Linked DNA regions of Arabidopsis thaliana. The protein of the gene in region 2 interacts with the protein of the main gene of each other region in a pairwise test. Each region holds a gene or a part of one and is shown on either strand. Other genes may lie near its edges.

The links.
Region 1: the proteins of SFP1 (region 2) and TPC1 interact in a protein complementation assay, tested with the Arabidopsis thaliana proteins (one large-scale study listed by BioGRID).

Annotation. Positions count from the first base shown.
Region 1 is NC_003075.7:1,572,648-1,588,937, reverse strand, and holds TPC1 (two-pore channel 1), read right to left. Parts: upstream 9,010-16,290; 5' UTR 8,686-9,009; coding exon 8,566-8,685; intron 8,238-8,565; coding exon 8,094-8,237; intron 7,998-8,093; coding exon 7,890-7,997; intron 7,580-7,889; coding exon 7,484-7,579; intron 7,369-7,483; coding exon 7,238-7,368; intron 7,046-7,237; coding exon 6,985-7,045; intron 6,888-6,984; coding exon 6,721-6,887; intron 6,629-6,720; coding exon 6,523-6,628; intron 6,417-6,522; coding exon 6,339-6,416; intron 6,186-6,338; coding exon 6,124-6,185; intron 5,978-6,123; coding exon 5,905-5,977; intron 5,787-5,904; coding exon 5,721-5,786; intron 5,629-5,720; coding exon 5,485-5,628; intron 5,409-5,484; coding exon 5,351-5,408; intron 5,082-5,350; coding exon 4,974-5,081; intron 4,887-4,973; coding exon 4,823-4,886; intron 4,748-4,822; coding exon 4,579-4,747; intron 4,341-4,578; coding exon 4,276-4,340; intron 4,121-4,275; coding exon 4,030-4,120; intron 3,856-4,029; and 9 more. Other genes in the region: AT4G03566 (ribonuclease H), read left to right, coding at 1-372; AT4G03565 (Cystatin/monellin superfamily protein), read right to left, coding at 1,204-1,407, 1,503-1,664, 1,766-2,191; GSL05 (glucan synthase-like 5), read right to left, coding at 9,743-11,191, 11,372-13,394, 13,555-15,425. UniProt on the Arabidopsis thaliana protein: Functions as a voltage-gated inward-rectifying Ca(2+) channel (VDCC) across the vacuole membrane. Is one of the essential components of the slow vacuolar (SV) channel.
Region 2 is NC_003076.8:9,641,305-9,657,560, reverse strand, and holds SFP1 (Major facilitator superfamily protein), read right to left. Parts: upstream 9,054-16,256; 5' UTR 8,604-9,053; coding exon 8,460-8,603; intron 8,318-8,459; coding exon 8,255-8,317; intron 7,111-8,254; coding exon 7,021-7,110; intron 6,889-7,020; coding exon 6,829-6,888; intron 6,689-6,828; coding exon 6,623-6,688; intron 6,538-6,622; coding exon 6,472-6,537; intron 6,304-6,471; coding exon 6,228-6,303; intron 6,081-6,227; coding exon 6,016-6,080; intron 5,917-6,015; coding exon 5,824-5,916; intron 5,683-5,823; coding exon 5,602-5,682; intron 5,510-5,601; coding exon 5,425-5,509; intron 5,058-5,424; coding exon 5,014-5,057; intron 4,639-5,013; coding exon 4,576-4,638; intron 4,492-4,575; coding exon 4,432-4,491; intron 4,342-4,431; coding exon 4,288-4,341; intron 4,180-4,287; coding exon 4,120-4,179; intron 4,019-4,119; coding exon 3,904-4,018; intron 3,525-3,903; coding exon 3,385-3,524; 3' UTR 3,135-3,384; downstream 1-3,134. Other genes in the region: SFP2 (Major facilitator superfamily protein), read right to left, coding at 287-586. UniProt on the Arabidopsis thaliana protein: Sugar transporter.

The DNA.
Region 1 (16,290 bases), on a different chromosome or scaffold from region 2:
ACGGTATTGGCGGGAACACAAGGCGACTTAAATGCACTTATAGCTCATGCTTTTGAAGAATCTAAGGTGTGGAACAAGTTAAGGACGATGCCAACCCAGTCTGTAACTCGTCTTTCGCTGAATCCTAGATGTGCAGTTAGATGGACTAAGCCACCACTAGATACGCTTAAATGTAATATACATGTTTCTTGGCTTAATGATGTTCACATCTGTGGCGGAGCTTGGATTGTCAGGAATCATCATGGGGACGCTGCTTTTCATGCCCGAGAAATGTTTTTACCAGCGTCAAATCGTATTGCTGCGGAGTTGAGAGGGGTTTTATGGGTCTTACACAGTTTACGTGACCTACACTTAGATAACATTGAGATATGATCGGACTGTCTATGGAAGCCATTAGTGATCCCATAAATTGGCCAACGTATTTATCTTATCTTGATAGAATTCATCGGATTCTTCCGAATTTTGGTTCGCTCGTGTTTAAGGTTTCATCTACAAAAGCCAATATAATAGCACGAGATATAGCCACGAGCGTAACGAGAGAAGGTAGGAGCAGATCCTATTTGATTCAGACCGCAAAAAGAAAAAAACTAATTAAGATACAAAATTTAAAAGACTAATCGGATCGGAGTTGAGACCAATCTTGAATATTTTTAGGGATTTGGTCGGCAAAAGAAAAGATAAGCATTACCTTAGACGGGGACTAGTCAATGTTTAATTTACATGACCATGGGGTTAATAGTACAATTATTGTAGACCAGCTAAACAAATGGTTTTCTCCAAATTGATTCTTCTTCTGTCATATCACATATTTAGTTGTAATGATAAATGGGGAAGGTCATTTTCTAAGCACCCATTTTCTTATGAACTAAAATTTACATAACTCCCTAAACAGTTTGAAGTTATTCATAGTCTTTGGATGTCTCGATGCCCTTTAGCCTCCATTATAACAAACGGCACACCTCTAAACGCGCCGACTATTTACGATTTTACCAATAAGGCCATATAAGTGTACAATTATTTGTTTATAGATTTGGCACTCTCAAGTTTTGATAAATCTTAGATATGTCTAATAAACACTCTGAAAATACTATTTAATGTTTGGAGAAACATCCATTAGAATAAATCCAAAACAAGAAGCAAAAAACGACGATGTAATCATCAAATTATTTAGTTTTAAATCCAAAGATTAAAAGAAAACTTGAACTACAAATCTGGATCTAGCTTAGGACTAGGCCTGCAAAACATAGGATAAGTCTTACATTGTAATTTCTTCACAACCTTGGCTTGATACTCCACAAGCGTATCATCGTCCTCAGACTCTTTCGCCATAAAAGTAATATACGAAACCCACCTACCAGTGAAAGACCCTGTCACTCTTACAACATGATCCAATGTCACATTGGTTTCCTGAAAACACAACCAAAGGAAAAATAAAAACAAGTAATAACAAGGCCAATTCACACATCTTAAACAAACAAAACAATGTTAAAATCAGAAATTACCTTTAAGGCATTGTATTTGCGAAGACACAATTTGACCATGTCTTGTGCGTATTGAAGTTGTGTCCTTCCTTTAACCGGAGAATGTTCACTGTCCAATGGTTCAAGTAAGATTGCACCAATCCATACGGAACGTGGATGAATCCCTTTTTCCACCAGAAAACCCTAAACCTCAAAACAAAAACCCAACAAATTACATTATACACTAAATAACATTTGAATTAGGAAAAGACAAAACCTAAATTTCGAATCATGTATATACGAACACGACTAAAGTGGAGATTTCGACGATAAAGACGTCTTTTACGCTCATCTTCTTCGTCGGTATAACAGTCTTCATCAGGTGAACAGAAATCGCTATATAAATCATCGAAGTTATCCACTTCCCACTCTGGTTGATCGTTTGTTGAATATCCATCGTCCACTATACTATCTCCATTGTCTTCTCCCTCTCTTTCCGTATCGCCTTCTTCTCTGTCGCTTTCGTTATCATCATCGTCATCATCTTCCTCTTCGTTGCTTTCGCCATCATATTCGTCTCCTTCTTCTCCGTTGCTTTCGTAGTCTTCTCCTTCTTTTTCTCCGTCGGAGGAATAATCATCTTCTCTTGTGTCGGAGTCGGATATGTCCTTGTTCAGAGAGCAAGCGACGGTGGATTCATCAGTGGTTGTCTCTATCGGTGGAATTTCCATATTTGAGATTTGAGTAATTTTAAAAATATTTGGGTTGATTTTTTAGCTTTTTTTTTTTTTAAATGACTAGTGATTTGGTGAGATTTGTATCATCATGGGTGAGACTAGAGGAAAGTATAAAGAGTCATGAGAAATTTGGGGTATGTGTTTGATGATAAATTTCATGATTTTAGATGGAATTTGAAATTTTTTTACAAAAAAATCACATTAACTTTCCTAAAATCATTAAAACCATAGAAACCCCACTAAAACTCAAATCATTCAAAATGTAAGGTCCAATATATCTCTCTTAGCTATTCGAAATCTTATTGAAAGGCTGGAATGGTTATTTAATGTTTCCTTTTCGCGAAAAATACCAATTGAAAAGAAGGTTTCTTCAAACAACAATGAGTTGGGTCAACTATTCAGTCAAATGATATTGAGTGGACTATTTCTTTGCAAAATTGTGCTCAATTTCATATGTGGCAATTCCACCAAAATCTCTTCATTAGTTGGAAGACAAATTCGCACGAATCGGATGCTTTAGGAAAATATCGAAAGTCGTATCGTCAAATATTTAATATGATTCTACAATTTTAGTTTTGTTCAAGTAACCAATTATAGCCAATTGAGCGGATATTTTGATCAATTCATAGATCTTTTCGATTCAATTAGTAATGAGGATTCGGAATATCACTATCACACATTGATCAATTAAAGAGAGATTTCTATTTTGGCAAAAATCCTAATAAGGAAGCCTAATTCTCAAAACATTACTAGTGATAGGTACTCTTCCAATTTCATGTTCTTTTGGATTTTTTACTAATAAAAGTTACATTTTAAAAGGTCAAAGTAAAACTCAGTAAACATTACAAAAGTGTTAAAGAAATTGATGCTCATATAGTCATATAGTCATATGTTTTCATGACAAATTATAACACAATCGTCTTATATTAAATCTTCACCCAAAAGAAGAAAAAATTTAGTCACCTTCTAGATTCTATTGATCTCTCCATATAGAATCAAAGATTCACAGTATAAACGTATAAATAAGCTCTTAACGATCTTGTTTTGTTTTATGTGTCAGAAGTGGAACACTCTGGTTTGCTGAGTTCATCACCCAACATGTGATGAAGAAGTGTATCAACTCTCTGACTCCGAGACTTCGACCTTTAATAACCATAAAAACAAAATAAACCTTCAGATTTTGAGTCTAGTATGATATTACCAACCAACAATTTGACCTATCTACTTACCCTGCAGATCGACGCCTGTTTCTTTTTTCTTGAGAATCCTGCAACGATACAATAACGAGATGAAAACATTGCCGATTGAACACGAACCAAAAGGTTCTTTACTTTTCTAATCTCCCCAACATCTGTAACTTTATGGCGAATCAAAGACAATAACAAACCTGTCCTTGACATTTTTCTTCTTCTTCAAGATCCAGCTCAGTAAAGAACGCCTCCAAGACAAAGGCAACAACCTGAAACAAACACGCATTATAAGTCGATCTAAGAAGCAGAGTTAAGTTTCTTTACAACAATCATGGCCTCTGTTTGATCGAGCTCTTAGGAGTTGGCGTCAGTGAAACTCACCAAATTCAACAGAAGTAAAATAGTGATGACATAGAAACTGACGAAATATGTAATGCTCCACCACGTGCCCGTCAAATCTTTGTAGCTCTGAAAGAAATTAAGAGTAGTTAAAACCATTGCACCATAGTGATTGGCAAATAAGAAGCAAGCTGTTTATAGTACATCTAGCATTGGCCTCCTCAGCTCCAATGAATCTTGCGATACTTCTTGTTGGAAACTATAATGAGTCTAAAGTTGGGACTAACAGAAGAGTGAAATTACCTCCATCCATACTTGCCAGTTACCCATAACTAGCAGATTGAAGAGTGTGACCATTCCATTGGGGTAGTCATTGAAGTTGAACAAAAGGTAGCTGAGTTTTTCCCGTCAAGAAACGATCTTATACTGAAAACGTTTTTACCCCAGTAATAAAAAATTAAAAACACACTAGCAATCACAGGAACAGAGAAGGTGTACTAAGACTGTGTTGAGTGCATTAAAAGTTTTTCAGAAAGTTAAAAAGGATACTCATCCTCAGCCAATTCGGTTTCAAAGAGCTTTTTGTTCCCAGCATTCACAAGCCCTCCAAAGACCTACGGAGAAATGAGATGAAGAAATTTTTATATCTGATTTGGGAAATAGAACCCGTGAGAGAAGACAGGGAAAACACATGAGAGTAGCAGTTCAGCGGTTCCTAAAACATTCAGATGAACGGAAAGATGAAGAATTTCAAGAGGCTTAGAATAATCAAAAATGACGAGAATGACCATTGACCAAGGCTTCATCATAAGCTTGCATTTTTCAGACAAAAAACTCAGTAGTCTGATTTACCTGTACGCCAATAGAGCAGTAGATACACAGCACGCAGAAAATGGTCCCTAAATATGGCATCAAACTTGGAATAAGAGTTATGAACGTCGCAATAAATGCTCGGTATCGCTGGACGTTCATAAGAAGCCTTATCAGTCTTAACATTCTCGCCAGGAGAAGGTACCGGATCCTATCAATGAGAACCAGAGTCTGGGTTAGTACAAAAGAAGACCATTGTAACAAATATGTCATCGTTATTCCTCACCATTCTCCATTTGAGAAGAAAGTATTCTCGTCTGGAGTTATGAAGGTAGCTGTTTCCCCAATAACTGCAGATACAAAGATTATCACTTATAGCATAGCCATCAATCACTCAATCAGCAAAACAAGATGAAAATGCTGCTTCAATAGGTTACCTATGACCCATGTGACTAGAAAATCAAATCGGTTAGCACCCTCTCTCCAATAATTCTCAAATCCATATGTATAGATCTTCAGAGCCATCTCCAACACATATATCCAACCTGTAAAAACATTCAAAGATAGAAATTAAAAGAAGAAAAAGTTAAGACTCTGAAAAGGTGGTCAATAAAATTCGGCTGTTACAATCTAATATGATCCATAGAAGTACTCTACTCAGTGTAATAACACAGGAAATAGCTTAACTTCTATTTCATTCTTCATCTTTTCATCATATTTCTCAGTAACCATAGATTATACACTTCACAAAGCATCAAATAGAAGAAAAATACAAAATGGAGAGAAGATAGTGGAAACCTATTCAAGTTCTTACCAAAGACAAACTCGGCAACCTGCCATGGCTTCTGAGCCGAGCTTTCTTCGATATCAAGCTGCATACCAAAATCTGTTATGGCTTATGAAAGAATTAGGAATCGCATGTCAAAGAAATATGGGAACATGATATACCGTTGTTTCAACAACGACAGCAATGAAATTGATAATGAGGATGAAAGAAATAGCGTAGCCAAAGTTGGGGCTTCGAACAAAGGCTCTCAGTTGTTGTGATAAGGCGGAATGGTAAATTTGCGGAAAATGTTCAAAGAGAGACGGCTGCAATGAAAACAAAAAGGATCGCTAATGTAAACATATGGTGGAGGTAAGTAAATTTTGAGAGAAGGAAAATAAAGTATATGTGAACTTACTACTTCCTCCTTTTGGAATCTTAAAGCAATGGCCTGGCAGAGGTCAGCAAACTCATCCTTGTTTATCTGCTCAACAGGAAACAAAAAGGGGACAAAGAATCTGTTAGTCGTCAAGAGGTTTAGGTGAATAGTAATCTTAAGGTGTATCCTGATCATATGTGCCACATCCTTCACAGATCTCTACCTTAAAGTCACGAGTATCGTCAAGCTCATCAAATATCAATCCGAATTCTTCTTTTGATATCTTCGGCAACGTCCTATAAGGAAAAATGAATGCATATCATTATCAGGTCTCACAAGTTAACATACAAAAGGGAAGAAACCACAAACAAGTATATAAAAGATGTATTTCTTTTTCGAAACATAGGAAAGATTGAAAATACCAAAGATCATAGCAACAAACCTGTAATTAGTCAACTGTTCAAAGAGCTTAATGCATTGGTTCTTATCAATCTCCCCGTTTTTCTGTTAAAACATGAAATAAAGAACGAAGAAATATATGCTCAGCAAAGTGGTTAACTATACAAAGACTCTCCATTCATGAAGATCTTTGCCCAAGGAGAACTTCTCCGGATATCTCTAGGAGTAGATATAATCACTATGCGTAGATGAACTTACGTCTGAGTCTATAAGACCAAAGGCTTTCTCCAACATTCTTCTCTTCATTTGATCCATTCCAGATACTTGCTTTGCGAGCTGCAAACAGAATAGATATGATATGACACAAGGTGTCAAAAGAGGTTAATACTTTTGTTTTAAAAGCTGACATAAGAACCATACAAACATCAAATCCTTAATCCACCTGTTCTTTGAAACTGTCATAAACAACGGCAAGAATCAAGTTTGTGACAAAGTAGACGCCAATTAGCACGTAGAGCACGAAGAACACCGAAGACCAGCGAGAAGACCTTAGAGGACAGAACAAATAAGTCACTAAATTACTGGATGCAACGCCATACAAGCAAACTGAGACACAAATGGGATTTCACCTAATACTTACTTGTATGCAGGAATCCAGACATCAGGATTGTTGGATGTTGTGAACAAAATAAACATCTGGTAAAGAGTTGCACCATATGAAGTGAAGACCGTGAGGCCCTGCTGCGTGTCCTCAAACATAACAAAAGCAATCCAACTGGCAAATAGAAGGAACAGCATCCATAGAGCCTGTGAAAATATTCAAGGAGTTAAGTAAATAGGATGACAATCAATATGAGTTAATTACTTATCTGAAAGTCAAAAATGATTGGGGAAGGCCACTGACCAAGATATTCAAGTATGTGCCAAGCATTCCAGACAGAAGGACAAGGGTGTCCCGAAGTTCCCTGTACAGAAATGTAAAGAATCATAACTTTGGGGAATGTGCTGTATTTAGAGATTTAATAGGAGGAATAGTAGGTCAAATAATCACACGTCGACATTTATCATACATGACATGATCTGCGCATCTTTGTCTATAGAAATAAAGACATATAACCCATATAGTTGATAGAAAAGAAGCAGAGATCTACGGATACCTTATGCTGAGGATGAATATGATAACTCTCACGTATGGGGCGATTCTAAAAGGGAGAAAGTCGAAAGCCAGTGGAGACAGATACAGAAAGTCAACCAGCACATCAACAAACAAAATTACCACGCAAGCAACCTGGAATCAATATGAAGACAAATTGTTGCACGAAGAAAAGGAATTTCTTACTTTCTGATCGATTTTCAACAAAAAGAAGAAACACAAAACTGTGAAGTGGCTAGTAAGGAAATACCTTCACTAGATTCAGGCGACTAGTCCAAAAGATTCGGGAACCTTCATAGGATATCGGGAAGAAAGTATGTACAAGGAGTATAGCCAGGGTAATCACCTATTTGGACAGCAAAGAATATTATAATTTCAGCACAATGAGAAAAGGATCTTGGCCAGTCCTTATAATAAACATATCCAAAATAAGATGTGAGTGTTGATATTAAGTTCTTAACGACGAATTAAACGAGATAAACTAGTCTTGAATAAATACTCAAGGCTTCTCAAGATTTAAAGAAAACAAACATAAGGCAATTCAAGTCTTAAACTTTCAAGTGGATGTACATGTATATCATGAGCCCATCTGCACTAAATCTATGCATCTATAGCAAAAAAACAAAGGCAAACAAGACTTAAGTGTAATTACTTGCCTCATAGATAATGGATTCTGCATTGGTCAAGTACGGTAACTCTCCCAGGTAATAGTAATCTCTATCTTTGCAAGACGGTTTAGGGTTTTTTTCACACCACAATGGTTGCTGCAAAAGACAGGAAAAGTGTGTGATTACTTTCAAGTTGTGATTTTCTATAAATTTTTCAAGCAAGGTTGGTGTATACCAAAGAAATGTGCTGACCTCGAAGAAGTTAAGGAAAAGCAGAGCGAAATAGTTGAGTGACCAGATCAGATCCAAACGTGTGAAGATGAAGTAATACCTAGCAGACTCCCCGAAACTCGACTGATCAAGTATTTCCACAGGAAGACCAATACCATCTTCAGCCTACATACCACAAATCAGAGTCAATCCAACAATCCTCTTGACATAAGACTTTAGAGACAATGAAACAACAGATATCTCCATTCCCAATTTTCAAACAATGCTAATTTCGTGAGGATATACACACAAAAGCATTGACTAATCCTTATACGAAGAAATCACTCAGAAGAAGAAACGATTCATCTTCTCAGCTTAACAAAAACACTGACTTAATGAACTGATAAAATACATAGAATCTCTCTTGGAGGCGATGTGATCCATGTATAGAAACTTTTTGAAAAGTCAAAGAGGAAAACGAATTCAAAATTAGGGTGTAAGAGAATAAGAGAACCAGATCAACGAGTGCAGCTGCTTTCTGAAACGGAGTACCATGCGTGATAGCTTCTGATCGACGAACCCGATCCGTACCACCACCACCAAGACTATCTCTACCAATCAACGGGTCTTCCATTTTTTTTTTCTCTCTCCGATGAGAAGAAAATTACTGGATCGAATTGAAAGCAAATGTCGAGGAGAGACCTAGTAGCTTTCTCTGAGTGATTTGACTGTAGTTTGATAAGATCAAAAGGAAGACGAACAAGATTGATGATGATGGCCCAGAAGTAGTTGAATTTATTATTAACAATTTCTCGATTTTAAAAGTTTCCCGTTAGATCAGTCGCCGTTTTGTTAATAAAAGGATTAGATCTTGCAGACAAACACGTTGGTCCCTCGTCGATTTCTTGCCACGTGGCTTTAATTGCTCAATTCTGTTTTTTTTTATTCCCCAATTCACACTGATTGTTTCCCAATTTGTAATAGAAAAGGGAGCAAGAAGTTCAGGAGCATCCAAGTAGAAAAGTCAAAACCGACAAAGTGGTGTTGTGGTCCAATTATATAAATTTATTTCAATTTTGGACCCAGAAATTGACAAGCAGAAACCGATAATAGACGAGAGTAGTGGAATATGGACAAGTATCTAATCTGAAACTGATCTCTACTAAGAAGGAGAAGAAAAGATGTGAAATGTGAACAAAAGCTCTGCGAGATGACATTAGATAACAATCTGAATATAAACTAAAAATGCTCTAAAGCTCTATAATGAGAGAAGGAGAACAAATACACAAAGCCTCACTACACAAATTGCTGTACCTTTAGAACAAAAACCATACAAGAATCAGAGTTCCCTCCACACACACTGACAATCAAATATCTCCCTAAACCCATCTAACCGAATCAAACCAACTTCCCGATTCCTCATCCAACCAAACTCTCCAAAAACCTGTTTAAAATACAAAGATAAATCATCAGCATCTGAGTTTTTCTTTAGACGAAACAAAACTTCGAATTCGGTTGTTTCGGGAAAACTAACCTCCAACTGATTCCTTCGCCACATACCAATAGGATTTGAACTACCATTTACTTCTTAAGACCTACACAAATTTAAAGCCCGCATTGGTGTGAAATCCAGGATTTAAACGATCATAACATAAGGTGTTGAGAACAAGGAGCTTTACCGTTTTTTAAACTTAGACATCGCCTTTTGATTTCTTCCCAGTGACAATCTGCATGATGCGAAGTCCTCTGCTAAAAGCTTCATTGAATAATATCCTCGTTTGCATTGACTGGAATCCAGGCATCCATGACAAGAACGCTACTGGAACCATTATGAGTATCCCAAACAATATGTCATACATGCGAGCAACAGAGACAACAGCATTCCAGAAAATAGTGTAATTCTTCAGCCACTTCCTTTGAGTCTGTGCGATCAGCAGAATTCCCCAGCCAGTTGGGATGAATGCAAGAAGGCTTGTGAAGATATCGATGAAGCTGAAATGCGTGAACTCGAGCAAAGCAACAATCACCAGTATAGCAAGCACGATCAGGAGGAATTGGACAAGCCTGTACCGTATGTGAGCTTTTGCCGAGTACTTGTCACGGGCGTATTGGATGACTAGGAAGAGCACAAATATAGCAAAGATGTATATCCATGAGAACAAGTAGACAAAAAGGCTGGTGGATCCGTTTGCAATTTTAAGCTGGTATACAATCCCATACTGGAAGAAGAAAAACCGGAGGACCAAGATGATCTCCACAAATAATCCTGCCTTCCCGGTGTTTCTCAGGTGGTCCTGTTCCTCGTACCACCATTTTTCCCAGCTTTGTTCAGATTTCGTTGAGATTCTGCCTTGGTACCAGATCCAGTTCATGAAGTCTTCAAAGTCATAGACTGTCTTAAGCCAGTCGAATCCTGATGGGTTAAACACAAATGGGGCCATTATCCATGAAATCACAAGAAACCAGCTGGTGATAGTCATGGCTATGTAAATCAACGAGTCTTTGGCAATCGGACTGTGCGAAGCGTAGACTATGAGGATCAGCCCAAGCTCGATGGCCTTCACAAAGTGACTGCGTGCATACAGTCGGTAGTTCTCAGTGAATCCCTTGTGCTCGACAACAAATCCACGTCCAGTGGCTCTATACTTGGCCCCACCATGGAGAATAGTTCGACCGAAATAGTGAGCTCTGGTCCCCATTGAGAATGTGTAGAAGACAGCTGAAAGCTGAATCTGCATTCGAATGAAATTCCATATCGCTAGAAGGAAACCCTCCTCGAGAGACCATTCAACAATCATTGGCAGGGCAGTGAACAGACCGAGCTGAATGATGAACTGCTGGTTCAGGATCACCCCAAGCGCGGCGTTGGTGTCCGTACTGTCTGCTAGAGCGGACTTCTCAACCCCGCTGAGAGCCAGATAAACCCGTCCCCAGAGGAAAGCGTAAACAGTAAGAATGACCATCATTGTGTTGAAGAAAAACCCTACAGTTGTGTAGAAAAATGATAACATTCTGAAGAAATCAAGCCTGTGCCCGAGCCGGTACACATCTCGGCTGAGAACCTGCTCTCCGTTCCCACTGGCTACCTTAGCCTCAAACATTGATATCTGATTCAATCCAACATCCCGTCCCTTCCCGACCTGAAAAATGCATAAAGACAAAGGTTACTCAAATTTTTTGAATTTAGAAGATTAAAAAACGTTAAATTACATAATTATAACAAAAGTAGATTGCATAATTAATAAACGTTAAAAACGTTAAAAAAACGTTGTAGCAGTATAGTTAGTTAGAAATAATCCAAATTGTGGACCCTTCCCAACCTGAATGTACTCGTGGTGGGTGACGTTTCCCCCCCTTAACGTGCAGTTAAACCCGGCAAAGATGTCCTCACTGATATTTATAACTCTGGAAGCCTTACTGATGCCGCCTCGACTCAAGAACCAGAATCTGTCAAATACATCAGGGTGGCCATAATGCATTCTGACCTTCAGTGGGTTTGCAAGAACACGCTGACCAAGAGTGACAAAACTTGTCTCCTGAGCAGACATGAACCACGCCAGTGACGAGACTGATCCCGTGAAGATATGCTCCCTGACACCAAGAATAGTTGGTTTTCTGATACCATGATAATGGTTGTACTCCTGGAGCAAATTTCTCATCTTGAGAGCTTCCTCAAAATAACTGTCTTGGTTCATATCAATGGTCTGAACAGCATCACCACGGGTAAAGATCATTGCATGATTCTGGTTCTCTGGCTTTCCCTCGCCCAGCTTCACTGGACCAGGTAGCTTCACACGGAATATTTCCACTTCCTTCTCCAACTGGTGATCGTATTTCACCAGAACGGAGTAATAATCAGTCTCTCCTCTTCCCGCAGGCACCTCATCCACATATGCAATACGGAGAGCTTCGTTCTGCTTCATCAGATACAGAATTTCCTCTGCCTGAGGCTCTTTCTTTGCTTTTTGAGACCCGTAGATCTGACACGCCACAACATATGTGAATTTCATCAATGCAGTCCCATACTCATGGCCTTTATACAGCGTACTCACGGAACTACTTGCTCTGCTTAAGGAAGATCGGTCGTTTTCAGAGACAAACCCATCAGATTGACCACCCAGTTCTCCCTGCAAATTCCTCACTGAACCAAGCTCCTGAGCACCCTCCCGAATGTCCATTTCAGACGCAGAGTCAAGAAAAGCGAGCATCTTAAGAGCCCGGTAGTAGTACATCATCCCACGAACTGTACGTGCCAATGTCTGACCTCTGTAGGAAGCCCAAAGCCTGAGGTCTCTCAGCTTGGTTGTCCACAACTCACTATCTGTCTTGATTCCTTCCCTATGCATCCGTTCCTTGAAATTTTTCCATTCATCAGCATAAATTGTCTGCAGGTAGTATAGGGTGGAAATCCCATCCTCAGTCTCATTTCGGAGCTGTTCTTTGCTGTATACAACTTCCTCACTGTAATATGGAGTCAGAACACTGAACGCCATCATTTTCTCAACCTGAGGGGCATGAGGCATGTTCATGAAAAGCGAATTACTGAAGAAAGCAATCCGCCGTCTCGCCTCTAGATTCACAGGGACGCTGTGCATAGAGTCCCTAGAGGTGAGAATCGTGTGTAAACGCCTAACCTGCCGGTAGAAGTCTTCATTGCTTGCATCAGGAAGCCTAATAGCATTTTGAAACAGCAACTTTGAGGCTGGGTCTCGAGGAGTTAAACCTTCATTAGATAGCTGTTCAGTTGTCTTCTTCTCTATAAAGAACTGTCGAGTTGCAATCTCATAAAGAGACTGCAGAACATTCACCACCCGCCCACTATCTGTTTCCTCATCATTTACCAGCCCAACCAATTTCTGCAGTGTTTCATAAATTTTTGGCAGCAGGTCCACTCTAAAGGTCTTGGTGAACTGCTCTGACTGAATGGACTGATTAATTATCTGAAAGAAGACCGTAATTATCGAATGTTCTTCAGTGTCAACTTTGATGATTGAGAGCAATAGATGTTTGATGCTGTCATATGCCTCAACTACAGCACAACGCCTGTATTCATTCTTGCATATTTTGTGCCACAGCCATTTATCAGGTGCGTCTATCAGCTCTCTGGCCTGGCTCAGTGCAAGCAAAAGCTCATTGCACAACAAGAAACACGGCCAGCGAATAACCGTCACATCCCAGGAATTCTTTGGCAGCTCCAGTAGCTCTACTTCACGATCAGAAACTATATCCTCTTCTCTGAAAGCTAAGATGATTTCGTTCCAGATCAACGCAAACTTGTTGGCCTCGACCTGATTCGACTCAAGTTTCTTAAACGGCCTCCCAAATCCATACCTTAGCTTCAATCTGCATACAGTACACAACCTCAAGTTATTACAATATTGAAAAATTTAATTATATGCAGCATCTGCGTTAACAAAAGTAAAATTTCACAGCTTGTACAGTCAAGTCAAGCGTTGTACAGAAAATTATTTAGGAATATTAGTAGCATGCTTCCACGGACTACCTATGAATGCCGTCCTTGAACTTGTTACCAAAGCCTCTAGCATTCAGGAGTTGTTCCTCAGGCATTAGGTTGAATTGAATAGCACTAGCAAAGAATTGAAACCTTAGCCTCAGCTGTCCCATGTCCCTGATCTCCCCCAGATGATCAAACAGCCCAACAACAGCACCAACAATCGAAGAATAGATTGCGTACCAAATTTGGATATCCATCAGATATATCAACACAACTGGCAACCATAACAATGCGACAGAAAACCTATTGCTGTCTCCATAAAACTGATGCCACTCATAATCGACATCCTTTAAGTTCCATAGCAGCTTTGAGGGTTTAATCATTGGCTTAACCTGCAGGAAGTAACTAAATGTAAACTTTGTAGCTAGGACAAAGATCCAGAAAGTCGAGTACTTGATGTTGTCCACTAAACCCTCTCTCAAACCTCGACCCACAAAGCTTTTGCCTTGAAACCACCAAGTTAGAGCAAAGAATATTTTCCAATTGGTCTCTTCCAGGAAGTTTCTCATCCATGGGATAATAAACAAAGCCAAAGCCAGGATTTCGGGCACCAAGAAGGCCCCCACAGCGTAAAGGAATTGGTATATCTTAGTCGTCGCGGCATTGGACCACTGCCTGTCTTGCCTCTTCTGCTTCCAGATGTTAGTGTAGAGGACAGTGAAAGCTACAATCCAAACTGCGGCAGCTATAACCTTCATCAGCATTCTGAAAAAATGCCTTTTGGTCTCTCTGGAAACGAGGGGATATTGTGAAGCCGCGTCCAGCACAGCCTGCAAGAGTCGCATACCACTCCATGTCAAGAACACGGTCAATAGTCTCACCTGAACATCTCTTGCCTTCAGAGCATTCCACAGCTGCCTTGTTACCGACGAGGTATCTGGCTTTTCCTCCCAAGCTACTATAATGGCGGCTTGAAGGAACAAAGCTAGCATCACCCAAAGTCGATCAAAACTCCTGTAAAGGTAGAAGAACGTCCTGCGCTCCACGAAACCAGTTTTCCCTACACTTTTGCCTCTACTCTTAAAGAAATTGCTTCCCAAATCAAGCGGCCATTTCAATTTGCTGAAACACCGATCAGTCCAGAAGTACTCATTGATATCGTCGTAGTTCCTCCACTTACAATGCGCAACTGTACCGTTCTTGCTCTCATCAATCTCAGCTTGGATAGTATCGTAAATAGGTTTAACGACGCCGGTTAAGAAAGCGTTTTCGCCTGAGAGAGAAGGCAAGTAAGGTTGGCCGGTGTTCTCATCGAGGCAATCCTCTAAGATTTTGTTGAGCTCAGAGGCCATGTTATGGAAGATGTAACAGATACATTCAGGCATGAACCGAAGATTCGCAGCCTCTCCCCAAATGAGAAGATAGAGTCCAACATAGAGAAGCTCTCGTCTCGAATCAGGGTTCCGATCTGAGATCCAGATATTTGATTTTTTCCCCAAATACGAACACCAGCTAGAGTAGTTAGCGAGAAGTTTCCGACGAAACCGACGAACAACCGCGGAATCGAGAGAATCAATATTATCCGGCGGCGGAGAGAGACGCATCTGAGCATTTGCGAGATGAAGCACCATATGCTCACGCTGGTTACGAACGTTATCTTTCTGGAAACCGAAGAACAAGGCGAGCCAGTCGAGGAGATCGTAGTGAGAACGCCATTGAACATACGGCGGACGACGAAGGTCTCCAACGGTTTTAAGAGCAGCAGCGGCGGCACGAACCTCGGGAAAACGGAGTGAAGGATGGTCGGCGAGGAGATTGTTAACGGGAATGATATTGTACGGCTCCTCTTCGATTCCGACAGCTTCCGCCGCCAACGGCCGTCCGGTTTGCGGCGGGACGGTGCGGTGGCGGAGGCTCATAGTAGCATGTGGTAGATCTTAGAAATTTCTCGAAGAAAAAAGCTTCACTGAAGAAACAATAACAATGGAGAAATCGAAACGGAAGCGAGTTTTTTCGTTTGTAGCTCTGAAGACGGCGACAACGACGACGAGAAGATTTTGCCTCCTTTCCGCGTTTCAGTTTCTTCTACCTTTTTTTTTTGTTACTTTTTTTGCTGTCTTTGATTTGTATTTTTTTCCAACAATATAATTTGAATTTCCTTTTCTTAAAGATCTTTTAACCTTAAAATGAATATACTAATGATCAAGTAAACTTTTGCAATGTTATATATTGATTGATATGTTAATAGTGTTATTGAATTGTATTTTAAAATTTTCTAGATATTTATCCAAATTGGTGAAATTTTGAATGATAGACAGATTTTTTTTTTTTTGTGAATTACTAGATAAATTTTGATTATTGGATAATACATTTGAAGTTTATTAATGCAATGAAATTGCTTTGTATCTTCCACCTTTCTGGTTTACTTACTATATAAGTTAAGAAAAGAAAAAAGTCAGCATAAACAAAGAAAGACATTTATGGCAATCTGGAATTAATTCATAATTTTGGATCCGAATATTATAAAAGAATGCATTATAAATAAAATAAAAAGAGAATGCATTATGCATGCATTGATATGAAAATCCTTAACAAAAGTAACAAAATACATGCATTTATTTGTAAATTATAACTCTTTGTTTTAGGCTTGTTTTGGTCCTATGTATCTTTTTCTATAGATTTTGATGATGATTAAAAGTTCGTAATTTTATTAACAGTATCACCATTTGAAGATCTCGAGTATTGCAATTATATTACAAAATTGTAGGTTATGTAAATGTTAGT
Region 2 (16,256 bases):
AAGAGTTTTCTACTCCGGTCTCGGGTTTAATACTCTCTAGAAATATAGTGAATCTAAATCTGCCCTTTCTTGGTTTTTAAAGTTTTTTTTTATGTTAAACCCATAGCATGGGGTTGTAATTTTTTCTTCTTTTAAAGGTAAAAGATATGTGGTTGTAATTATCCTTGTAAAGTTTTTTCGTTCCCAATTAATACAATAAGTTGACAACAGAAAGAAAGAAAAAAATTCTTTTTACTATATCAAGAAAAAACTAAGCAAAGAAGAATGATGAGGATAAGAAACTCACAGAGACACCAAAGGAGAAAGAACCACACACAGCGATGAAAGTACTAAGGATAACACAAGCAGTAATACGACATTCTGAATCGTCGTTTTGGTTCTTGAGCTGCAAAAGCCTTTCTTCTATGCTTCTTTCTTTCTCCACCACCATCATTTTATGCATGCATGTAATGATACAACACAATTTCTGGTAAATAAAACAGTGAGTGCTCGAGAAAGAGACAGAGGTAGCGAGACAGAGGAGAGTGTGAGAGAGAGAGAATGCTCTGTTTGTCACAATGTGCTTCTTATTAAAGGAGGGACACATGTTTTCTTTAATGGTTTTATGTTATGTCACAGTTTGACAAAAAACAAAAAGTTATGTCACAATGGTAATTCCATTCCATTGAAAAATATATTATTGGAATGCTTAGTGATTGTTAACTCTTAATACTTGATTTTTACTTCAATTGGGGGGGGGGGGGAATATATCTAAGGGATTGGATTGTACTTAACTGTATGTGAGATTTTTTTATTAATTTTTATGTTTTATTAAGGAAATTATGGGTCAGATTATTATCCAGTTAAATTTTATTGGTTTAAGAAATTAAAGTTTTGCACCAAAAGAAAGAAAAGAAATTAAAGTACAGCTATTTTAAATATTATTCCATTTTATCACATGTTATAGATAATCTTTTGCTGCATTTTATTCGATTTTTATTTTTCTAACCTTAAATCTAAATTTTATTTTATGTTCTCTAACTATTTGTATCTTAAAAAAACAAAACTATGCGTTGATTTGTTTCTATGTTAACAGATGTTTTTAAGTTTTATTAAAAATAAATAGTGTATTTTTTTTAATCTCCCTTTTTTTTTTCAAACTAAATTGTCTTATAAAAAAATTTGTTTCACCTTGAAATCAATACAAAAGGTGGTATATTATACATCAGAACAAAAATAAATCAACTTCGAGTTGGTCAAATGGTTAAATCCATGGATTACTGAAAACGTAGAGATTTTGGAGATCACGGGTTCGATACATGTAGGAAAGAGTTTACTCTCTAGAAAATAGTTACATCTCCTAGTCATAAAAATGAAGATTAATTTGAAAGTCACTTGTGCTTAGGATGAAAAAAAAAACCTTAAAAAGCCTATGATTAGAAAATGAAAAATATCATTTTATGATCGAAAACCCGATAAATTGCTCCTTATACACAACAAAGGACTAAGGACCAAGCACTTATCATACATTTCACGCAGTCAATGTATTTTATGTAATCAATCCCTTTTCTACTATACATGGAGTCAGGAGTTCATACCTACTTACTAATGCAATGTACTTACCGTGTAAATATATTGTACATTTGATATGGTTTTATTGAATCGCATAACTTCGGTTCCATATGAATTTTCTACTTTCGATTCCATCTGAGAACCGGTTAGATAATCATGTAACAGCAACCTTCCGTTCTACTATACATTAAGGTCATTTACACACAAATGCAACACCTAACTATCATTCACACAATAATTAATCGGTTTACTTGGTTTTGATCAGCTAAAAATGATTACTTTAGAAACAAACTATAGCTTTTGAATGCCAAAAACAAAAAAATATATACCTTTTGAGAAAAACGGTTGTTTACATAGAATCAACCAAACTTACATGGGTTTCAATTATTATGTTTTGTACTAATTAATCTTAACTCAATCAAATTGCATTCACGTGTTTGTCAAATTGTCTTTTTTTTTTGTGCAAAACATAATTGATTTCATTCAATCAAACCCAAAAGAGGAGAAACAAAGGATACAAGTACTTGAAGCACATTCTTACAATAAAGATAAGATAGCTAGGATAAGTTAAAAGCATTGAGGATAGACCCATAAAAATTTTATGATAAAATCTCAGAGACAGAAGCTAGCTAGCAACATGCCACAAGCGAGTTCTTGGTGTGTCAAAGAGACTTCCACGAACAATTCAGGTATTTTAGAACTAGTCACTATCAAAAGATTTTGTGACGATTACTAAAGGTACTTAGTCTCACTATTCGCCGGCACAAACGACAAATGGAACCAGAGCCAAGGTTCTTTCCATGACGGGGAAGCTTGGATGGCGAGGACCCTTGAAGTCAGGTAAGAATGAAATTCTAGATCGGAAGCTAGCTGGATGTGTGTCGGGGAACAGTTAGCTATGGTTCGAAAAAGCTTAAGCAAAAACAGGGAAATCACAACTCCTAGTTTTGGCCGCTAGATTGAAGTGGTGTCAAGATGCTTCAGTGGATAGTCGATGAAGATAACGTCCGGCAGAGATGTGTCTAAATTGACACTCCGGGATAAGCTCAGTATATTCACGGATAGAGATAATAGATGCGGTAGTGATAAAACCTTCAAAGACAAAAATTCATAGATGGTTTTCCAATCTAAGGTTTCATATTCTTCAGCCAGAGGAGATATTAACCACAGGGTTTGTGAGACAGATTTTCGTTTCAAAAACATGCAACACCATAGACAGATTGTCGCTTCAGGGCATGAGTAAAGTCCTTGGTCAAAACAATATATTACTAGTGATGAATCGAACCTAAATATGTTTGTTTTTGAAATATCTATGTGGTTCCAATGCATAATCTAATTAATATTAGCCATCAACTTACAAACGTCAGAAATTTGTCGAATCAACTTACCAGCACGCATGATGCATGGTGGTCCACAAATGTTATCCAATGTTAAATCAAATTTATGAGATATCACGTTTTCGAAATATATAGTTTTCTAAATATACTAGCTACTTCATATTAAACAGCAATATTAGGACTTAACAGTTTAGATTAATTAATCGCATGTTTATTGTTCATCATTAATTACCCTAGTTACCCAATACTAGAAATCAATCTCTTCTTTAATATATGTCCGAAAAATATTACATTTGCAATTTTAGAGATAAAATACACATGTACGTAGGCCAAGTTTTACATCTCGTAAATATACATCATAAAAATGGGGCTAATTACCCAGAAAAATAAAGTAGTAATTACATAATGAAAAAAAAAAATCCTTGTTTGTAAATAAACAAATATAACACCATAAACTGAATTTGATCATTTTTATAATAAAATAAAATAATTCAAATTAAGTTTGATTTCTTTCATCGGGCTGATGAATAAGTGAAACTTGTATTTCTTCGAGTGATAATCCTTTCGTTTCTGGAACGAGCAACCATATAAAAAGCAACGCTGCTCCACCGATACCCGCGAATATGAAAAACGTTCCTATTACATTAATTAAACTATATAAGAAAATTATAAATTAAATGCAATTATAATATATATATATATATATATAGACATTAGGAGAAAATAAAATAAATACAAACTATATAACATATTCACTCAACCAAAAATTTAACTAATTAGTCTTTTAAAATAAAATAAACAAATAGTTGTGTTATAAAATGTATATGAGGTTTCATTGAAATGCTATAAACACAGACTTTGAAAACTATATAAGTTTTCTAGACTTAATCATTGATTATTTCTATGCGATATACAAAAAAAAAGGATAAGTTATAACTTTTTTTGTTGATCACAAGATAATTTATATAACCAAAATTGTATAAAATGGATATTAAGAAAAAGAAAAACATAATACCTTGAGTGCTCCATTCGAACAGAAAGTTGAAAGCGTAAGTGACGATTGAACTACTTGAAAATGAGACTAACGTAACTATACTTCCTGCAGTTACTTTTATATTTATTGGAAATATCTGCACACACCAAAAATCATACATATATTACTTTATTTTTCAAGACATATTACTTACTTCCTGCATAGAAATAAAATTAACAGTGAAGTAAATTTATGTACCTCCGACATAATTACCCAAGGTAGACCTCCCAAGCCTATTGCATAAGTTGCAATATACATCTGCCGATTTAAAAAATATCAATTTTAACTATATTTTATATGTAAAAGAAACATCAACGTAAATATTTTCATCAAAAAGATTGTGTACAAGGAGATATAATGTCTTACCATTACGCATATAAACGATAATATTGGAGTTAGTTCCGAAAGCAATTGCATTTTCTGCTCATGCAAAAACATTGTTAAACAAATAAGTTATTGGTTTAAAAACAGAATAAATAAAAATAGTAATTATCTTACAAAAAAAATAACCTGTAATGTGAAGGCGACCCCAAGTAGCATGCAAGTCATGCTCATCCCAAACGCTGAAGTCTATGTCAAAATAGTAATCAAATCAATATAGACTAATAGATTTGAATCTGCGAACAGCCAGAAATTATTTAAAGACATGCTCACCATCAGGAGAGGACGTCTGCCCCATTTATCGACAAGAATGAGGCCAATCATGGCTTTTGGAATCTGCGAATAGCCAGATATTATACCATTCAATGCTTTCACGAGTTAAAAGAAAAAAAACTAGTACATGAAAATTCTTAGTTCAAAGAGTTCATTAAAGTACGAAATTTTAACAAAATAAAAAATGTCGTTTTTTCAACTGTGATAAAATGTCGATTAAAACGCCAACATCACACAAGTTTTGTTTTTTTTTGAATATTTGGAAGTTGAAACCCAAAAATTCTATATCTCCTAGAAACGCGACCTATACCAGGTTAAATAACATCACACAAGTTTAGTTGCTCAATAACAACAGATTTCAGAGACGTAGTTTCATTTCTTAAATTTTGCATCCATATAGTCAAACAAAATTTGAGAAAAACATTTATATATACTTACCACGAAGATACCTAGCATCGTCGTTCCAATGGCCACCGAAAAACCTGTTTCCATCCAGAACAATTATTGAGCAAAAAAAAATGGAAAGAGGAACTCATGGTAAATATTTACTAAAACCCTTTCTCTTAAAGTATTTAGAATGAGCTAATGGCATCATTTTACAAAATAAATACACAATTTAATTTTATTTTGAGAAATCTTAGGAGTTCAGGACCTTTGCCCATAATCTATTGATTGGTAGAATAAAATATGTTTTGTTAGAAAAAAAAACATTCTCAGAGAAACTGAAACTTCTATGCAAATCTTCACTTGCAGATTTGAACAGATTGTCATATAATATATATATAGTTATTATTATTTCTGACATTTTAATATAAAATTAAACATTAATAAAAATAAATGAATGCTTACCAGCTTTTCTAAAAATGGTACTTGCATAAGAGATTACAGCAGCACTTCCTGAGAATTGTTGTATCAACATTAGCCCGATTCCTACCTGAGATATTAATTAAAAATGAATGCTTGTGCAGATAAATTAAATATGAAAATTTGATACTCTAGAAATTAGTTTGATGTACTTGTACGTACCACGAGGGTGTATCTATACTTTCTCTGGAACAAATCTGAAAAACTCGACTTTGAATCATTTTCCACCATTTTGGTCATTACCTGAAAACAACACAGAATTATTCAGACTTTACATTTTTTTATTTGTGAAGGAATGAAAATATAATTTCAAAGAAAAAGGGAATGTATATTTATTGAAAATTATATAAATTATAACTGATAATAGTATATAGTAAAACTCACTTGAATTTCTGAGGCTTCACGTGAAATATCAGCATCTCTTCCTCTAAGCCGAAACAGTGAATTTTCTAGTTCTTTATCGGAGCCAACTTTGGCCTTCAAAATGAAAATAGTTTGGTTTAAATTTTTTTCTTCTCATGGTTGATAATAATTAATAAATTACGTAAAACACTAAAGAAAAATTAAATGACCAACCAGCCATCTTGGAGACTCTGGCACGAAGAATAAACCGATTACTTGAATGAAGCATGGTAAAGCACCTAAACCAAAAACGTATTACATTTTTATCAGTTGATTTGCTATAATATAACAGCTGAAGATTTCCAGTTTTTTTCTACTATACATTTAACATATTCTTACGTCTCAAAACAATTTTTTCACGATGAATATGGAATTTATAGTCTTACCTAATAAAGCCAACGTCCTCCAAGTGATGAAATTCCCACAGAAATAAATCATGGCGAGTCCAGCGTTTTGAAGAAGCTAATAATCAATAATTACACAAGAATGAAACAAGGATCAATATACTCACGAGAAATTTTGAAAAGTTTTAATTTGGATTTTGGTTGGTTTGTCTTAGACTAGTTTGTGCTATTTTTTTTTTTTGTCAGCACTCATTCTTATAAATATTCTAAAAACCTAAAGTATTACCTGGTTTGAAAACGTAAATGTACCACGAACATGTTTTGGCGTAATTTCTGCTATGTAGACAGGTACCTGCTTGGTAAATAAGCAAAAATTACAGATCAGAAAACAAACTTACAAAGATGATATTAAATAATAATAATAATAAGTTAATTACCACATAGCTCGTCAAGCCGAAACCTATCCCTGAAATGATTCTTCCGAAGTTCAGCAACACTACTTCCTATTGTATTCCAAAACATAACATAAATTTAATTATTGGGTTTATAATAACCATAAATTAATTGGTTTGTTTATTTTCTAAGAAATAATGTTTGAATGAAAAAAAAAACATGTTTATGAATAGAAAATAACTAGTAGTACCTTAGCAAAAGCGATGGAGAGCCAACCAGTGATGCATAGGAAATCGGAGACCCACATTGTCTATTATATCATAAATAGCAAAAATATTATTATAAGCATCATATATACGAAAATTATAGTCACGAAAGAACCAAAAAAATAGAAGAATGGTAAAATTACGAATATGAAAGGTGAAATGGTTAAATTAATTACCCCTCTTCTGCCAATGACCATTGCCAGATTACCGCAGAACAGTGCACCAATTGCAGCTCCTAAAGTGGCGAATGAGCCAAAAGCTGAAAACTGAGAAAAAAATGATTTATAACAAATATAGTTTTCATATATATAGTATTATTATTATTATTTTTAATATATATATATATATATATATATATATAATATTTCAATATTTCAAATTTCTATTATTGTAGATGAGAGAATTGGCCGGAGAATGGTTCTGGAACGATGGAAACGTTGATAGCTAGATAATGTTTTTATAAGATGATTTTGACAACCGCTCAATATATCAGGATATATGTGCATATATATAGTTTTGGTAGGGTTATTATTATGATAAATAATGTTTTTTTTTGGATGATTTCGACAATTCCATATATATCAGGATAATATATATATATAGTTTTGGTAGGGTTATGATAAGAGTTTAAAAAATGGGTAAAAAAGGAGGTGAACCACACCAACAAAGAAGTATAATCAACTCAATGGGATAACGACAATCTATATGTTTCTTCTTTAGAATTGATGGTTGTTTGTTTCAATTTGAATGAATAAAGAAACAAATATTTACGGATTTAAAAATGATGTGAAGCTTGTATTTTGATAAAAATTGAACGATAATTAACCTAGCTATTTTTTGCATATGTCAATATGTCACTCGCTCTCAGTTGCTTAATTATACACAAAACTTTGTTTGTTTGTTTAAGGATGATAGTATAAAAGAATTAACTTTGAATGGATGTGGTTTTTAAACTAGTTTTTGGTTTTAGTTTTTTCTAAAATCTATTTTGTAACCATTCAAAATTTTGAAAAAACAAGTTTTCTTAAAAAAATAGGGAATCTAGTTTTTGAGTGTTTTAACAACTTTTCAAAGAAAATCAAAATCTATGTTTTGAGAGTTTCTCTATAAAAAAACCATCGATCACATTTTTTATTTTATTTTTAGATTTTTTTTGTAAAATAAAATATAATCCATTAACATAAAAACCAAAATCTAAACAAATTACCATTCAAGTTTTTAAGAAACTAAAATCTACACCAAAAACAAAAACCAAGAAAATCAAAAACTAAAAACCAAAATCCAAAAACCATTTTAAAAACTACAAACATTCATGGCCTTAGTCTTTTTTTTTTGATAAAATTTGCTACTTGGTTAATTTTCAATACATGTTTTTAGAAATAGAAGAAAAACCGTAAAAGAGAGACATACTTGCGCGATAGAAAGATCCAAGTCCTTCATAACTCCTGTCTCAGCACCTGAAGTGTAACCAGTCTGTATAAAAACAACAAAAACTATAAGAAAATAGGTATAACGTAATTATGAAGTATGTTTTCTTTTCATACAATTTTGTTGTTTTCATTTGTTCTTCTATAGAAGAAGAAAAAATCAAAGTAAGGTAAAGTAGAAAACTCACAGCAACACCAAAAGAGAAGGAGCCACAAACGGCGACAAAAGTGCTAAGGATAACACAAGCAGTAATACGACACTCTGAATCGTCGTTTTTGTTCTTGAGCTGCAAAAGCCCTTCTTCTATGCTTCTTCCTTCCTCCATCACCATCCCTTACACTTGCATGTACTAATATGACGAAACTTATGGTAAAGAAACAGTGAGAGCTAGAGAGAAAATGCTCTGTTTTTAGCAAAAAACCAAGAGAGCTAGAGAAAGAAGAGAAAGAGAGCGAATGATGTGTTTGTCAATTTAGACTACGTATAAAAAGAGGCTGGGAATTAAAAATGGTTATTTTGGTTTTCTACTCTTTAGGGGTTTTGGATTGGAAAAGCTAACGTGTGGACGTGAGACGTTTTTTTAAACAAGATCAAGTCAAATTTCATTAAACCAAGTTTTGTTGTTTTAAATTATAAAAATACAGCTAAGTATTAGTATATGATCATTCATCATCTGGATTCTAAAATAGTTTGACGTATACAAAATGCTAAACACTTTGAAAAAATATCCTTTAACCAGCAAATGGTGAAGACTTCTAATTAAGGGTTGGATTGGAAAGCTAACGTGGACGCGTAAGACCTTTTTTGTAAGACTTTGGGTTTTATTGGTAACCAAAAGCTGTACAAAATTTTTATTTGTTAGCTTTATCGGAATAGTACAAAGCTGTTAAAAGGAACTGTATAAAAAAAGCTGAGAGTAAAACACTTTTTGTAACGTTTTTGATAAAAAAATTGTGATTGGTAACTGTCAAAACGGTACAAAACTGTATTGTTATTAAAATGGTTACCATTCAAACCCTTTATATCATTTTAAGTCAAATTTCATTCAACTAAGTTTTCTTCTTGAAAAAATAAATACAAGTACTATTTAAATTATTATTATATGATCATTTGTCATGAGCGTATTCTTAAATAGTTTGACGAATTAAAAATACTGTAGTATGAAAAAAATATTGACATATTCTTTAAAATACCAAAGTTTTTTTTATAACAAATTATAAACAACGATTAATCGTCTATAGCGAATGATCCTAGTTATATGTCAATGTGGAGAAAGCTCTTTTCACATATAATTGGAAGCAATAATCTGAGTCAGGACATATACGTTACCTTGGATCAACAAAAATCGACAGTTACTCTTTTTTTCTCTCTGAAAGATTATTCTCAACTTGTAAAAGTGACGTCTTCTCTTGTTGATTGGTCCCTTATCTCAACGTATCTAGATGGATTCACGATAAGTATTATTTTGAATTCCATGCAATTTAAATTATATTAATGTGTATATATTGCTGGTTTGGATTATGGAATATTTTAACTTAAATTCATATCTTTGAGTAAAAAAAATATCTCTCCAAGACTATAACATTATAAGTTTGAATGGTAACACAATACAGCTTTGTACAGTATTGATAGTTATCAATCACAAAAACTTTATCAAAAACGTTACAAAAAGTTTTCTTCTTAGATTTTTTGTACAGTTTTTTTATACAGCTCTTTTAACAGTTTTGCACTATTTCGATAAAGTTAACAGCTAAAAAACTTGTACAACTTTTGGTTATCAATCAGATCCTATATTCGGGTGTTTTAAGAAGTTTTCACTCGTAACCAAAAGAAAATTGGATGACGATGGAACTCCATATTTGATGTAGAAAAAACAATCATTTATAGTCATTCATAATCATTGGATGAAAACCGTACGTTTCAACCTTTTTGTTTCTTTTTTTACATTAACTTGTTTAAATACCTCACAAGTTATTAGAACCTTTTAGTCATTCTTTGATTGAGTTTGCTAATACTTTTAATTAAATGTTTAATTAATCATAATTTAACGTTTTTGTCCTCCGTTGTTATTATTCTTACGTGAGGATCTATATTTGTACCTGTTACCATCTAGAAATGGAACCAAGTATTTAATTTTATTCATCAGTCTGCTGCTGAATTTTAAATATTAGGAGATTATAAAAAAAGAAAGGTCAACTAAAGAATTCGTAACGCGTACGGATCAACTATAATATCAATAAATGCTATTTTTGACAAATTATCAAATCTACAAATATTTTTAAACGCTTAATGACATATCTGTCCAAATAAACCATACAGAAGGAGAAATGATTAATGGAACTATATAACTAACGATAGTACTAATTTAAGTGTTGTCTAAAATTTTGTATAAACAACTTTAATCTAAAATCGGATAGACAGAAACATGTTAGAATTCAACATGTTATCTGACAATTAATCCATATGTAATTGTACATACAAATAGTCGTTTGGAATTTGAAACTACTAACTACATCAATTAATCATCGAAACGAAGTACATAGATAAGACCCTTGGAACATTAGATAGAGAACCAACTTACTTGCCTTAAATTCTCCTGAATCTACGATCTAATCCATTATATCCCCAATAATTGTCCAAACTACCTATTTATGGTTTGACTTTTGGTGCCTCTTTGGAAATTGACAATTTGTTTATGCAGTTGAACAAATCTAATTTGGACAAGCAAGCTAGCTTGCGTGGATAGGGAATCATGAATTTTGTTAGGATTAACATATGCATGCCATACCATCATTCATGATTTCTTATGTTGTGCTGCAAATTCAATTCTTCGGTGTAGAAATTATTTAAAGTTTTAATGTAAAACAATTTTTTTGTAAAATAAATAATCTGTCACATTTGTTTGGAAAATTTGTTTGGAAAATCTATTAGTTAAGTTTTGGCTCAATTGATTTATCTAATAATCATAAATACATGTAGTCTGATTAACCCTGTTATTAGTTAGAAAACATTTAAAATTTAGGACATATAATGTGGTGGTCTTTCGAAAAAACGTTCTCTCTGAACTATTTCAGTGTGCTTTTATTGAAACTCACCGGATCAGTCGATAGAATTAAAAAAAAAAAAAAATAGTCTACAAACACGACCCAGTTCAATTCAGAAAATAGTCCGTCTACAACCTATCTATATGACATTGTGATGTGTACTGCCGACAAAACAAAGTTGAATTAAGACACTCCTTTCATGTTTTACTTGTGAGCTTTTCACCAGACTAGAGTTCTACTTGTCTCATGTTTTAAAAAATTAAGAAGATATCAATTTAAAAATAATATGATTGCCATTTTGGATTTCTAAATCAATTAAAATATTGTGTCTAAATTTGTTAAAAGGATAATTTTATGGCGAATATTTGGATATTATTAGTTTTGTTGACTAACGATTTAACTAGTAGTAAAAACAGAAAATAAAAGATTAGATTCATGTTAATACAAATGAATCGGTACGCTAAATTACCTATTAGAAAGCTAAGATATTTTAGCAGAAAGGAAAACGATATTCCCTCTGTTATTAAATGATTGATTATATAGAGAAAAAAAATTGTTTCTAAAAGATTGATTTTTTAAGTTTTCTTTGTAATATTTATTGGTTAGTATTGGTGAATTGTAATTTTCAAGAAAAATAGTTAATTATCATTGGTTTAGAGTTATAGAAAACTGTAATACACAAAAAGTAATATATTTATAACCAATATTTAATATGTTTTTTAATATGTGTGTTTAAAAAAAAAATCAAGTTTAAAGAACAAAGGAAATATGAGATAATTAATTAAATTTTTTGTTTTTTTATTTGAAAATAAAATATTAAATTTATAGTATACATATAAATAAATCACCATGACAAAATGGTAGATGCGTGTAATTAAGTGAGTCACGTAAATTAAGAGGGCTAGCACTCCCGGCCCCGGGCACTCTCCGACCCACGTTTTGGTCCCCACGTTAATCATCAAAACACATTTTGTTTTGGTATCAATTAATCATTTAAGTTTCCCCACAATAGAAATCATTTTGGTGCATTCTCTATGCAAATTTATGGATCGAAATCGAAGTTAAAATTAAGACTGTTTAATGGGGAAAAGAAAAGAAGTTTTAAGACTAGCTAGTTACTACTAACTAGGGAAGTTTTTAACTATCATATGATTTTTTGTTGCGGAAGTGGATAAATATGACCCACTAAAAATCAAAACTTATTAGTCAACTAGTAACCGCTAGATAGTTCTAATGTTTACACTATCACTGACCTTCAGATTCATTGAATCTAGACAGGAGAAAGATCCAGCGTAAATTATTGGCAAAAGCGATGAGAAATATCAAAAATGACATTGATTCACACGAATTTAATTATAAACAAATCAATGGATTTGATGTTCTTCCATTTAAGACGATAATTACGGCTAAACCTGTAGTGTTTTTTTTATTCAAGTAATTTTGTAGTGATTTATCAAAACTTAAATTATTGTTGTATAATAATAGTTAAAATTTAGGTTCCGAATAGAGACAAAATCTAAATCGTAAATCGCACAATACGGTCCGGTTCATTATCATGTGAATCACACCGTACTTTATTCGTAGTTGAACGACGCATTTTTATTCGGAACGATAAGACTTTAGTGTTTGATTAGAGTAATACTGTATACCAACATTATATTATGGGCTGTCTGCCTCTGTCACCCTGAAATATATCAGTTCAACTACATTCCCCCCATACTTTCACTCTCTACCTATTTCCCCCTATACAAACTATATTCTTCATAATTCCACCCAATCTTACACAATTCCACCCAATTCACCAAAATCAATTAATCTCTCTGAATGCGTTTTAAAATTAATAATTGCGTTTTAACTTTGATAATCTGCTATTAAACCATTGACCCAACCAAAATCTCATAACCCAAAACAAACCTTCTGTTTGGTAAGGAAGGTTCGATTTATACCTTAAACCAAAAGGGGGAAAATTCTGAATTAGGTTTTCTATTTCTTCTTATGCCCAAAAAAAATAAAAAATAAAAATCTATTCTATTTCTTCTTCTTCTCCATCGACACTCTCTCCTTCTTCTTCTTCTACTTCTTCTTCTTCATCTTCTTCTTAATTAGTTTCTCCGGCGTTAATTGGAGTGGTTGGTCGTTGGATCATCATCTCTGGAGAATCTAAAGCGTGAATCTGAAGCGTGGTTGGGTTGAAATCACACATTACCCACACAAAGATGTCGTAAGTTATGTTATTTCTATGTAATAACATGTTCTCATAGTTGGATCTGTTTGAATTTTTCAGAAATTGTTTGTTTAAATTTGTTAATTGTGTGAGAGAGCAATAGATGTCTGACGATGATGGTGTAATTTTGTACAATTGTAGTGACGATGATGATGTGGAGTACAATAGGGGCTATGAATCAGAGAATGCGGGTGAGAGTGAAGAGCAGATTATAGAAATTGTGAGAAGGAAGAATAAGAAGAAGAAGAAAAAGGATGAAGAAGATCCTATTGAGCGTTTTGACTTTGAAGTAGATGATGGGGTAGCCAATTTCGAAGATGAGATACAAATAGGCCGAGATATAATTCCAGATAGTTCAGATGAGGACGAGGATCCGATTGTGTTGAGGGATAGAAGAATCAGAAGGGTGATGGGTGATAAATTTGTGATTGGAAGTACTTTTTTCACAAGTATTGAGTTCAAAGAAGCTATTTTAGAGGTGACATTGAAACATGGGCATAATGTGGTTCAAGATAGATGGGAGAAGGAGAAGATTTCATTCAAGTGCGGTATGGGTGGCAAATGTAATTGGAGGGTGTATTGTGCTTATGATTCAGACAAGCAAATGTTTGTGATCAAGACATCATGTACGCATCATAGTTGCTCACCTAATGGGAAATGTGAGATCTTAAAGAGTCCGGTAATTGCTAGGTTGTTCTTGGACAAGCTGAGGATAGATGAAAAGTTTATGCCTATGGATATTCAGCTATATATCAAAGAGCGTTGGAAATTGGTGTCTACAATCCCACAATGCCAAAGAGGAAGACTTCTTGCTCTGAAAATGCTTAAGAAGGAGTATGAGGAACAATTTGCTCATATTCGAGGATATGTTGAAGAGATTCATTCTCAAAACCCAAATTCTGTTGCCTTCATTGATACATATCCAAATGAGAAGGGTGAAGATGTGTTCAATAGGTTTTATGTATGCTTTAACATACTAAAAATACAATGGGCTGGTTCTTGTAGACCTGTTATAGGGCTAGATGGTACATTCTTGAAAGTTGCTGTGAAAGGAGTTCTATTGACTGCAGTTGGTCACGATGCAAACAATCAAATCTATCCAGTTGCGTGGGCTGTGGTCCAATCTGAGAATGCCGAGAATTGGTTGTGGTTTGTCCAACAGATAAAAAAGGACTTGGGTCTAGAGGATGGCAGTCGTTTTGTCATTCTTTCAGACCGCTCAAAGGTAGGAACCTCTCATTACCTTTGTATTTCATTACATGTTGGTAAGTATGAAAGTTCTCATTTTGTTTCTTTTTTTTACAATTATTTAACAGGGTCTTCTAAGTGCTGTTAAACATGAATTGCCAAATGCTGAACATAGAATGTGTGTGAAGCATATTGTAGAGAATCTCAAGAAGAATCATGCCAAGAAGGATATGCTCAAGATGTTAGTGTGGAAATTGGCTTGGAGTTACAATGAAAAGGAATACAAGAAGAATCTCTATAACTTGAGATGCTATGATGATGCATTGTACAGTGATGTATTGAAAGAGGAACCGCATACTTGGTCAAGGTGTTTCTACAGGCTTGGTAGTTGTTGTGAGGATGTTGACAACAATGCTACCGAGTCATTCAACTCAACCATCACCAAAGCAAGGGCAAAGTCATTGATTCCAATGCTAGAAACAATAAGGAAGCAAGGAATGACTCGGATTGTCAAGAGGAACCAAAAATCCTTGCGCCATCAAGGTAGATTTTCTAAATATGCTTTGAAGATTCTTGCATTAGAGAAGCAAGATGCGGATAGAAGTACAGTATATCGTTGCACACATGGTGTTTCTGAGGTGTATATAGATGGAAATAGTCATAGAGTGGAACTGCAAAAATCTCAGTGTTCATGTGGGAAGTGGCAAATAAGTGGGATACCTTGTGAGCATGCTTATGCTGCTCTGATAAATGCTGGTTTGGATGCTGAGAACTACATATCCGGGTTCTTCTCGACAGATATGTGGAGACACAACTATGAGACAGCCACCATGCCATTAAGGGGACCTAAGTATTGGATGAATGCAGGTTACAGCTTGGTAACCGCACCACCAGAACCTGTTTTGCCTGGACGAAAGAAAGAAAAACCTAAAAAAGGGAAGTTTGCAAGGATCAAAGGGAAGAATGAGTCGCCAAAAAAGAAAAAAAGGAAGAAAAATGAAGTTGAAAAGCTTAGCAGAAAAGGTAAGATCATACATTGCAAGAGTTGTGGTGAACCTGGGCATAACGCATTAGGATGTAAAAGATTCCCTAAGGAGAAGGTCCCGAGAAAGAGAAAGAGTGATGGCAATGATGAGGTTTGTTTCTGTTTTAAAGTTTCTTTCTTCATATATTATGTCTCTTTAGTAGCTTACTACTACTTACTTACTCAGTTTGAAAAGAAAGCTAAGAAGGCTAAGAAAGAAAGCAAGGAGAAGAAGTCTAAGAAGAAGACTCAAGGGCCGGATACGATCAGCATCACCCAACCTTCTCAAGCAACACAAGAGTAGTCTCTATGTTATGCTTTTTGGCAAATGGTTATTGAATGTGTTGTCATATTTTTTGGAGTTACTTGTTATGTCAATAACATTATAGCCGATTTGGATGTGTTTTGGTTCTAGAGTAATGTAACAATTATGATGATGTTAGTTATTTTGGACAAATTTGCTTTGTTTCGGATGTCTTTTATTTTGTTTTTCTTCTCTTTGAA